Nothobranchius furzeri: one gene and its partners. The protein of the gene in region 3 interacts with the protein of the main gene of each other region in a pairwise test. Links are inferred from orthologs where the notes say so. Each region holds a gene or a part of one and is shown on either strand. Other genes may lie near its edges.

The links. The genes of interacting proteins can lie anywhere in the genome.
Region 1: the proteins of morn4 (region 3) and septin6 interact in binary tests that used the Homo sapiens proteins (3 or more experiments, as listed by UniProt). The two-hybrid records come from large-scale screens. The link is inferred for Nothobranchius furzeri from reciprocal best matches to the Homo sapiens genes MORN4 and SEPTIN6.
Region 2: the proteins of morn4 (region 3) and hmmr interact in binary tests that used the Homo sapiens proteins (3 or more experiments, as listed by UniProt). The two-hybrid records come from large-scale screens. The link is inferred for Nothobranchius furzeri from reciprocal best matches to the Homo sapiens genes MORN4 and HMMR.

What each region holds. Positions count from the first base shown.
Region 1 is NC_091741.1:85,739,213-85,742,732, reverse strand, and holds part of septin6 (septin-6), read right to left. Parts: intron 2,903-3,520; coding exon 2,741-2,902; intron 2,351-2,740; coding exon 2,254-2,350; intron 495-2,253; coding exon 326-494; intron 207-325; coding exon 74-206; intron 1-73. UniProt on the Homo sapiens protein: Filament-forming cytoskeletal GTPase. Required for normal organization of the actin cytoskeleton. Involved in cytokinesis. May play a role in HCV RNA replication.
Region 2 is NC_091742.1:50,692,484-50,694,812, reverse strand, and holds part of hmmr (hyaluronan mediated motility receptor), read left to right. Parts: intron 1-1,691; coding exon 1,692-1,808; intron 1,809-1,904; coding exon 1,905-2,105; intron 2,106-2,184; coding exon 2,185-2,329. UniProt on the Homo sapiens protein: Receptor for hyaluronic acid (HA). Involved in cell motility. When hyaluronan binds to HMMR, the phosphorylation of a number of proteins, including PTK2/FAK1 occurs.
Region 3 is NC_091752.1:21,507,651-21,511,869, forward strand, and holds morn4 (MORN repeat-containing protein 4), read right to left. Parts: upstream 2,817-4,219; 5' UTR 2,684-2,816; intron 2,070-2,683; 5' UTR 2,063-2,069; coding exon 1,996-2,062; intron 1,045-1,995; coding exon 930-1,044; intron 847-929; coding exon 737-846; intron 659-736; coding exon of another isoform or gene 640-658; coding exon 491-639; 3' UTR 338-490; downstream 1-337. Other genes in the region: wu:fc17b08 (titin homolog), read left to right, coding at 4,153-4,219. UniProt on the Homo sapiens protein: Plays a role in promoting axonal degeneration following neuronal injury by toxic insult or trauma.

The DNA of each region.
Region 1 (3,520 bases), on a different chromosome or scaffold from region 3:
AGAAGGGGATATTTTGAGTAAATAGAGAACAGACACACTTGCAAAAATACTAGAATCACGCTTATTTTTTTACCTCCTTCTCTGCTTCTTTGAGCTCAGCCTCCTTCTCTTTGACTCGTTGGACAAACATTTGTCTCATTTCCTCTTCCTTCTTCTGTAGTTCACCCATGAACTCGTTCCGCTTTGCCTCGTATGTCTCCTGCAGGCTGCATCGTGATAAACACAAGTTGTAAAAAAATAAATAAAAATACGCTGGGAGAAGAATAAAAATAAAATAAAATAAAAGTCCAGCAGCACAGAAAAAGCGCCACCTAGAGTCTACTACCTGAAAGGTTTGCTGTCAGGATCCGTATCTTTAAAGCCCATCTCTTCGAGCTTGCAGCGACGGTACAGCTCGTAGTGGCGTGTGTGGGTCTGTTCTCGCAGGTCCTCCATATTCACTCTAATGAGCATTTCTCGCAGTTTGACAAAGTCACAGTGATTTTCATTTTCCACTGTGAGAAACACAGAAAAAAATCAGTTTAAAGTAAAAGACTCCAATCAAAGACCCAACCTTAACCCAAGGTTCATCACAAGCACCCAAACAATATTACCTCATATTTTTTAAATTAAACACATTTTTGCATTTACTATAGGCTTCATGTTAAAAAAAAAAAGAAATAGACAGATATGGGTGTTCTATTGCCGATACCAACGCCGATATGTAGCAGTAATGGCCAGCTGATGGCTAATATATGCTGCCAATTTTCATGGCCAATAGGGAGACGTTTTCTACCTTATTAGCCTGCAAAAATGTCACTAACCGTGGATCCACAACATTTTTTGCGCAAATCAGTTTTTTTACTCTAAATTTAGCTTAATTTTATGCAAAATCAAACATTTAATCAAAGTTAACAAAAAAAATCAATAAACTAACCAAGTATAAAATACACAACTGGTAAATAAAAAGAAATGTCGGTTGACAATAATGTATTAGAGTATTTTTTAATAAGCAGATGCTTTTCAGGAACAAATATATTTATGTAGAATTCAGCAGCAACACGGCTGCCCACAGATGTGCCCGTTTCTAAATCAGCTCTAATAAAGAGATACATTAGCCGAGGCCAATACAATACAATCTGCCTACAACCTCTGATTTTATTGAACTGTTTCTCTCTTTGTTTTTTCTTGTTTGGGTTTTATTATTGTTTTATTGTATTTTATCACGTGTTTTCTGTCAAGTGACCTTGGGTGTCCTGAAAGGCACTTTTAAATAAAATGTATTATTATTATTATTATTATTATTATTATTACAAGGTTTCCCCCAGAAAACTTGCTAAGCCTGGTGGACTGTGAGAGCGGGGTGGTGATTGGGGGTGTCATGGACCATTCCCATCTGTACCGGGTCGGCCCGGGCCGGGTAGCCCCAGTCGGCCCCAGCCTGGCCCGGTTGATTCCACACATCCTTGTCTTAAGCCCATGTGGGCTGATTCTACCCACCAATCAGAGGCTTGCTCTAATGGAAGGTGTGAATTTGCTGTCAGCAGTGGGTGTGTTGGCCCTGGTCGGCCTGAAGCAGACCCCCTCGAGAAGAGGGCTGAGAATGAGCCTTGGTTGTCCTGGGAAAATACCAGGCCACCCAGATATGTAAACAACCTACGCTACCCGGCCCGGGCCGACCCGGTACAGATGGGAATGGGGCTCGCTTCGCCACTGTGCCTCTTCCATGAGAACAGAAGGGGGGCGCGGATTGTTTCACTACCCTGCGTTGTTCGTGACTGCAGGGGAGGGTGGACGCTTGCCCTGGTGTTTCGCCAGGCATAGAAAGCACTGGGGGAAGCCCTGCAGTATGTAAAAAAAGGGAAATAGTGGCCCGATACATTGTTCTATTCCTACCAGAAAAAATAAATCTCGTCTTTCCTCACAGATGGGGCCTAAAGTGCCAAAAAGTTTAAAAGCAGATGAACTAAGTTTAACTAATCACCTCTGACAAATAAAAAGATTCATACTGCAGCTGATGTGAAATAGACAGAAAAGCCACAGCAGATCAATAGAAACTCCATTAGTGACATCACAGGTTGCCAAAGCATAGAGCTGCTGCTGCCGCTCAGTAATCCAAAATAACGGTGAGGAAGAAGCTGGAGCTGAATACGGTCACAGGAAAGGTTATCAGCTTGATCCCCCAAGAGCTCAAGAGAAGCATGAAGGAAACTTCAGCTGCTGTCAAGAAAGGGACTAGTCTCATTTCCTGTGCAGGATGTAATGTAGGCTCACCCTGCACCGTCCCCCAGGGGTACTGCCGGGCCTTCACCATCTTATTCCCGATCTTCACTTCCTCTGTGCTCCCCACCACAGCAAAGGGCAAATGGCTCTGTGGAAGGAGAGAGCTTTAAGTGTGAATCTGAAGCTTCTCCTTAACGTCTACAGCTGAGTATGAAGATAAAAGACACCAAACAGATTGAACAAAAAGAATAACAACAAATCAATTCGACTAATTTGCTGTAACTGAACCAAACAAGGCCACAGCTACTGATTTAGGACCGTTAGTGAAGGCGTTTCCCCAAGTCCAGGTTAATAAACAACTAAATGTGGAAACAAAGCCTGTTCCCACACTGCTGACTTCCTGCAGCGAGATTGAGACTGCCACTCGACCACATCAGTAAACATGACAAGGAATATTTTGATTCACACAACATGACGCCGTTTAAAGTACTAGGTAGCATGTTGTTTATCATGCAGACAGGTTCGGTCTGAGCCTTACGTTCATGGTGGAGTTGATTTCCGCCACGGATTCATCATCAGTGGGGAACTGGTAGATCTGGACTCCATTGCTGACCAGCTCACTGGTGATTTTGATTTTGAACTTGGCCAGTTCACTCTTGGAGATGGCGTCTGACTTGGCGACAATCGGGACAATGTTGACCTGGTGGCAAGGAAAGCATTTTTTTAGACATCCAGCTAAATTTAGACCGCCGTTTAGCTCACTTGCTTTCAAAAGCACTGCCTCCGCATCTGTGGTCCAGGATTTAGAGAGGAGGGGATTTATCATCACAAATTAAAACAAACACGCCACAAAAAGCATTTTGATTGGGTAATTTTTCAGGTCTAAATGGTTAGATTTCAGATTTATTGGCCAAGTAAAATTACATTTACAAGGAATTTGGCTTCGGTAGATGTTCGCTCTCTAAAACATACAACAACCACAATAAATGAGAATAAACATACCTAACAACACATAAGAACATGTATACCCACACTCATGTTCATTTACAAACACACATATATACATATATACATGCACGCACACACACACACACACGCACGCACGCACACATGCACACACACACATATCCATAAGCATACTGAATAAGTATTAAAAACTATAATAAAAAGATGGTAAAATAATCTACAGATTCAGGAGAGAAATAGCTGAAGGAAAGAAACTGTTCTTGTGTCTGGTAGTTTTTGTGTACAGCGATCTATAGCGTCTGCCAGATGGGAGGAGATGGAAGAGAGTAGATGCAGGATGTGTGGCATCTTG
Region 2 (2,329 bases), on a different chromosome or scaffold from region 3:
CTGGAGACTCCACACTGAGGAGAGGAGGTGAGCGAAGCACACTGAGGGTGAATACTTTTCTACATCAGAGAGGAGAAACCGATGACGGGTCTGTTCATTGTTGACAACGTGGCTGACTCCGATTCTGAAGAGTGCTGTTCACCCTCTGATGAAGATATTCACTCGCCCAGTAAGAAAGTGACGCTGCAGCAGGAACAGAAGGTCTGTGTGCTTCATGAGCGTGAACACGCTCCACACACAACATCCCAAGCTTATTTCACCGTGTTCAGGACATGGTGGGTGTAGAGAGGATGGTAAAAACGCCGCTAATAGTCACAGACGATGCAGTGAAGCTGAAAGTCTCACATAATTGATATGAGTGTTACAGCAATCGCAGCAAAACAGCATTACCAAGGAAATCAGCACGATGTGCTGTTTCTATGAGGCAAAGAGCAAGTTTCCACATGAGAGATGAAAACGGCTCACCAGACGGTCTGTTACGGCCGAAAACCAAAAACGCTCTTTTGGGTCATTTTTGGCCGAAAGTTTCAGTGCATCCCTAACGAGTAGTTACATTTAAACTTTTACTTTTTCATATTTGTAGGAAATGAATGTGAATCTAATTTTAAACATTATCTTAATGAGTCACAACGTTTGTTACAACCCGGCTTGAGGGACGGCAGCAAAAGGAGGTCTGCACACAAGGTTAATGTTTAAGAGTGTATTTTTATTAAAACCCAGCCTCTACAACGCCACACAGGCAAGAGCTCCCAAAGCCTCAACTCCTCATCCTCCTGAGTCCTTCCAAACCGCACATAGAAGCCTGTTATGCTGCGCAGGTGCAGCCGCTCGTACAGGGAAGGGCGTCGGCAGAAGCAGCCAATCAGCTGGTTGCACGGGCACAGCAGCCCCCCAAGAGGATGTGTTCTTGTTTTCTTCAATCGCAGCGGTTGTAACAACATTAAACATTGAAATGAGTCTGGTTCAACTTATAATTATATCATAATGGTTTGCCATATTTGTACAGTCATACATGTGCAAAACTTCACACACTCCCCCTGAATACGTTCAATGTTTGAGGTTGTCTGTTTGCATCAATGAAGGAGAACGCACTATCAGAGGGATGATCGTATGATTAATGAGATTTTAGTCACATTTGAACTAGGGATGCACCGATACCAATGCCAATACAGGTATCGGTAAAAGTTAATCGATACCAGGAACCAATACCAATGCAGTTGCTTGAAAGTGGCTTCACTGTAACTTGTCATTTCTGTTCACCTAATATTTTAGTTTTGTGACCATTTCCATTCATATATTTAACTTTTTATCTACCTCACAGTCTTTTCCTGTTGAAAGCAGAGAAGAAAATTTAAATCTGTATTCCAAATCATTGCATTTTTTTCAGTGGTATTGGTAATCGGTATCGACGAGTACTCGGATCCAAGTATCGGTATCGTATCGGTTTGGGAAAAAGTGATATCGTTGCATCGCTAAATTCAACACAAAAGTTGTTCAGAACATCTTAAAGTAAAATGTTGTTTTAAGAACGAGTTGGAATTCAACAAAAGACTCGAGTCAGAGTCGTAACGCTTCAATTTCTCTAAACAAGTCCTTGTTTCTATCTGATGAGATGATTTAAAAATGTACCCAGGAAACAAGCGAGCCTCCGGTCATGTCTGACCACAGATCGCGTTCTGTTTGCATCTCAGTAGGAGCAGCGACGTGGCCGTCATGAACGAGCTGCATTTGGCTACGCTGAGGGAATTCCAGGAGGCGCATTTCACCTCCCAGAAGAAGATGGAAGATGTTGTCACAGAGCTGGAGAGGTGAGCCCTCCACTGCCGGCGTTTCCTGATGTTTTTCCTGACAGTCGGCGTGGTTCCTGTAAGGTTTAGGCTCACACGGCGTTTCTGACTGTGCAGCACCAAGGAGGCTCTAAAGGGAGCAAAGGAAAAGCGAAGAGACCTGGAAGCGGAGCTGGAGAGCGTGACCCGGCAGCTGAAGGAGGCGATGGACAAAATGGTTGAGCAGAAAGAGGAGGAGGTCAAAAGATTGAGGGAGTGGACAGAGGAGCGGCAGGAGAGGCTGATGATGGAGGAGAAAACCAGGGAGGAGAATACCAGGTAAACTAAAAACTCACTTTCTGTCTGTGATGTAACAATTGCCATCTGCTCCTCTTTTTGAACGTTTCTCTTCTTGTAGAGCGACGCTTGACGCTCAGGCTCGACTCGCTCTGAAAGACGAGGAGATGAAGGCTGCAGAGGCGAGCCACGCGGCTCAAATGGCCCAGCTCCAGGAGGAGCTGCAGGTGCAGACAAAGGAGAAGGAGGAGGTGCTGGGGCGTCTG
Region 3 (4,219 bases):
CCCAATACCAATCCTTTTAAAACCATGTGATTGGGCCCGATTTCCGATCACGTGACTGGATCGGAGCATCCCTAAATTATTTCTAGAATTTTAAGCTGCTTTACGAAGTTTTATTTATTTTATTTTTTTCAGAAAAAGTATCTAATCACAGGCTAAAACTTTTTTAAATATTTAATTTTAAAACTTCTAAATCCAAGGTGCACAGTAGCTCTCCTTTGTTATTTTAAAGTCTTAAGGTCCAGAACACTAATTTATATATTTACACAATAAAAGCCTAATTTGCTGCTCACTGTGTGCTTCTTATTGTTGTGCCTTTCTAATAATCCACACAGAAAGCTGTTATTTGGTTCAAATGCATTTGGTGGACCAAAGGAGAGGCAGAATTTTAAAATATTAAACAATAAAAAGTGTAAGAAGCACTGGAGGAGTTTACATCTTTAAGGCCCTTCTGGAAGGTGCTCAGCTAACATCCCCTCAAGAGTCCAAGCGATCAGGTCGCCAGGCTGTGAGCACTGGAAGCTGAAGCCTGCGCACGCTGCACCACACCTGCACACTTCTCCCTCCTCTGCAGCTTGTGGTTTTGAAACAAGCCCTCATTCCGTGGAGCGCCGTGAGTTCCGTCTGGGAAAGTCAACAGCCCTGCAGGTACAGACACATCCTACCATGACCAACCACATGGAGGAAACTGACATTCTGATGGATGTGCTGCTCCAAGCGGGGAGGGTCACAGACTTACCGTATCCCTCAACGCGCCCGTCTTTGAATTCCCCCTCAAATTTCATGCCGTCGTATCGGCTGAAGACTCCCGTGCCTTGAAACTTGCCATGTGCAAATTCTCCTTCATACCTAGTGTGGTGTAAATAAACCAGGATGTTGTTTGCATCTTTTAACAAAGTGCAAAAATGTTTACCCTTTCTTTGCACACGAACCGGGACCCATCTGTAAAACGCAGCACACCAGATCCATGAAAGAGTCCATTCTCAAACTGGCCAGTGTAGCAGGTTCCATCTTGAAACTTGAGCTGGCCGAGGCCATGCCTCCGACCTGGAAAGCATCACATCTTAGTGAATATTACCATTACATTCCTGGAATATCATATCAGAGCACATTTTAACTTCATTTAAATACAAATGCCTCAATAAAGGGAGCAACCAGCTTCAACTGTGATGCCTCTGAGTCTGACAATGACATATTTTTTTGCAGAGCCACTTCAGGTGTCAAGAAATTGGACACTTGGATTTAAATACTTCCTTCCAACCAAATGAGATAAAGATTTACTACTGAACTAGGAGCCCCATCTGTCTCCCGTGCAAGTGGGAATTACGGCCGTCTAATCCTGCAGGTTTGCAGTGATTTCTATTTTAAACCTGAACCTTAAGTGAACAAACTGCACCACGACACACAAAAACTGGGTAAAGGAGAAATGGGAGGGGAAAATAAACACGAAGAGTTAGAACTGCAATGCACATTTAAACACAGCATAAAGGATGCTGTTGTATTTTAATTAAATGAAATGCTCCTTGAGGACTGGCCACACTTTCCTAAACAGTTCCAAACTCCAAAGTCAGGCTCAAAAGGGATTAGACAAAAGCAGAGCTGTTAAATCTGGCTCTGCTCGTATTAAGTTACCAGCAGCAGCTAACTGCAATGCACCTGCAGGTAAATGTGAGAGTAACACAGGTAATATCATTTAGATATTTCCATTCTAAATAGATAATTAAGCCCACACTTATGCAGTTTTAAGTTTCAATACATTTTTCATCTCACTGACAATTTTGTTACTTATAATTTGAAGAAAACTGAATTTCCAAGAATCAGGAGTAAATGTAAAGAACGAGCAGTTCAGATAGGAGCAGGCAGGAATCTAACAAACACTGAAGAGACGTTTCTCAGTCACCACATCCTGTAACTCTGACAAAACCTCTCTGACGTGCATGGAGCAACACAGACAGATGTCTCCGTTTGGATCGGAGCTGTGGAACAGAACCATCTTGCCTTCTTTCCACTCGCCATGGTATTCCTCCCCGCTGGCATAAGTGAAAGATCCTCTGGTCAGGGTCATGGTATTCCTGTATTCAAGACAAATGCATGCAACAACACATGGTATTTAGATACACCTGACTATTCTGAGCAATTGACAACATGTCTCTTTACTCTTCTTTTCAAAATAAATGTAAACATGGACAGGGATTGATTTATTGATTGGTTATAAATCATATAACTGAAATCAATTAAAAAATATCTGCAGTTTGACAGCGACTGCTTCAAATTAGAGTTGAAATGAGTGACAGATTAATTATCAGCTAAAAATTAATTATGACACCTAATAAGGTTAGCATTTAAGCTTGACTGCAGACAAACGCAAGCTTTCCGCACAGTCATTTCCAAACAGCCTATTGTGTTTTAGTGAGTCTCCCTTTAAAACAAATGGCCACGTTACAGATGGCAGACAGCTGTCATTTTACCCAGGCGGCCGCTAGCAAATTAATAATTCATCACAAAAAGGCTGAGAAATCCACACATGATTACAAATACACGCCTAATTAGCTGTCAATATGTTTTCGATCCATACTAAAGCTCTGAAGAGGCTCTTCGCTTTGACCGATAAGCCAATTTAAGCCAAAAACCTGAAATTAAACGAAAATCAGAGGAAAATAAAAGCACCTATATTGGTGTAATTTACCTGCACGTAAGGGTTTTCGTCCCTGGAGCATGGAGGCAACCGTACGGGAACGGACGGGCGTAAATAAATAAAAACACCGGCTGAAAAACGGATGGTGCGTTTAAGTGCTGCCCGTAAAGTTGACTAACAACCCAGTGACTGTAGGATAAAACCGCGTGAACTAACACTGTTTGTATTAAAATACTAAAACTATTCTTCATTTTCATTATTAAGAACTTAAAAGCGTTTTAAATGATGGCATCTGAATATCTATGACGTTTGTGAGAAACTAAAACCAGGAATTCCGAGTTACATTTAAAGCAACATTTAAGAAGAAGCTCTTTAATGGCATACAGCAGCTGAGAGATTTATTTCTGAAAAAGATCTTTATTTTTTTTACTCTTATACTCACTAATTTAACCCATTTTCATCATTATGGTTTAAATAATGGTCCTGTCATATAAAAATAAATTTGTTGACTAAAATTATTTTAAATTTGTACTGGACTGAGATAAAAAGCAAAACTGTGTTCATTTATAAGCGAGTAGTTTTAAATCTGAAATGTAATAAATCGTTATTTTTTTCTCCTATTTAACAGAGAGTTGTACTGGCAAGAATCTAGTTATAGACTATTTCTAACAATGGGGGGATACGATATATTGCGATGCTAAATAAACAAACAATATTTGCAATTTTCAAGACTAGATGATTGGGAAACACTGGCTCAGACACTTCAGACACGTTTTATCCCGGTGTTACCGCAAGGTCTTGTCATCAGAGTGAAGGTGGTAAAACTGCTGCCACCTAGCTGTTGGAGTTTGAACTACATAACACAAAACAGTAAATGTTTGCATGCAATTTTGATAAATTGCTTTGAAATATTTATTCATTATCATCTTTTTAAAATACTTTATAGTGTCATTTCACTCTATCTCCTATTTTAGATTTGGACACAACATTTATATGTATATCATACAAACATTTTCTTACATCCCTATTCTTTAAATTAAAACCACAATGCTAACCCAGGGAAATATTGTGGTATGATTCTTTTTCTTTTTACTATAATCCATTAATTATTTTTTTATCTACACACACAAACGAATGGAAATCTCCACAAATCTAAAAAAATATATATGAATAAATAAATATTCCAGTTTGAAAGCAGTGATCAATGAAATAAATATACAAATTATGTGGGTATGGTTACATGATCAAAATGTGAAAGATAATTGATGATGAATAATTAGATTTTTTGTGTTCCCCTTTAAACCAAAGAACAGTAAAATTGCAGTTTTGTACTATTTATGTACAAAACGATTAATCAATAAACTAATATAATCAGATTATTTAATCTGAGCTCTGTGTTGTAATGAACAGCTCACTCCCTCTGGAACCGTTTCCTCCCCTTGACGAAGGCGCGCGCGCGTCCACGTGACCGAGCGCTTCCTCTTCTCGTGCCCGAGCATCAGCCAGCGGACAAATAGAAAATGGCGAGTCCGTGCAAAAAGCAGCAATGCACAATCGACAGGCGCGGCTTTCGGCAGGAACTTGACT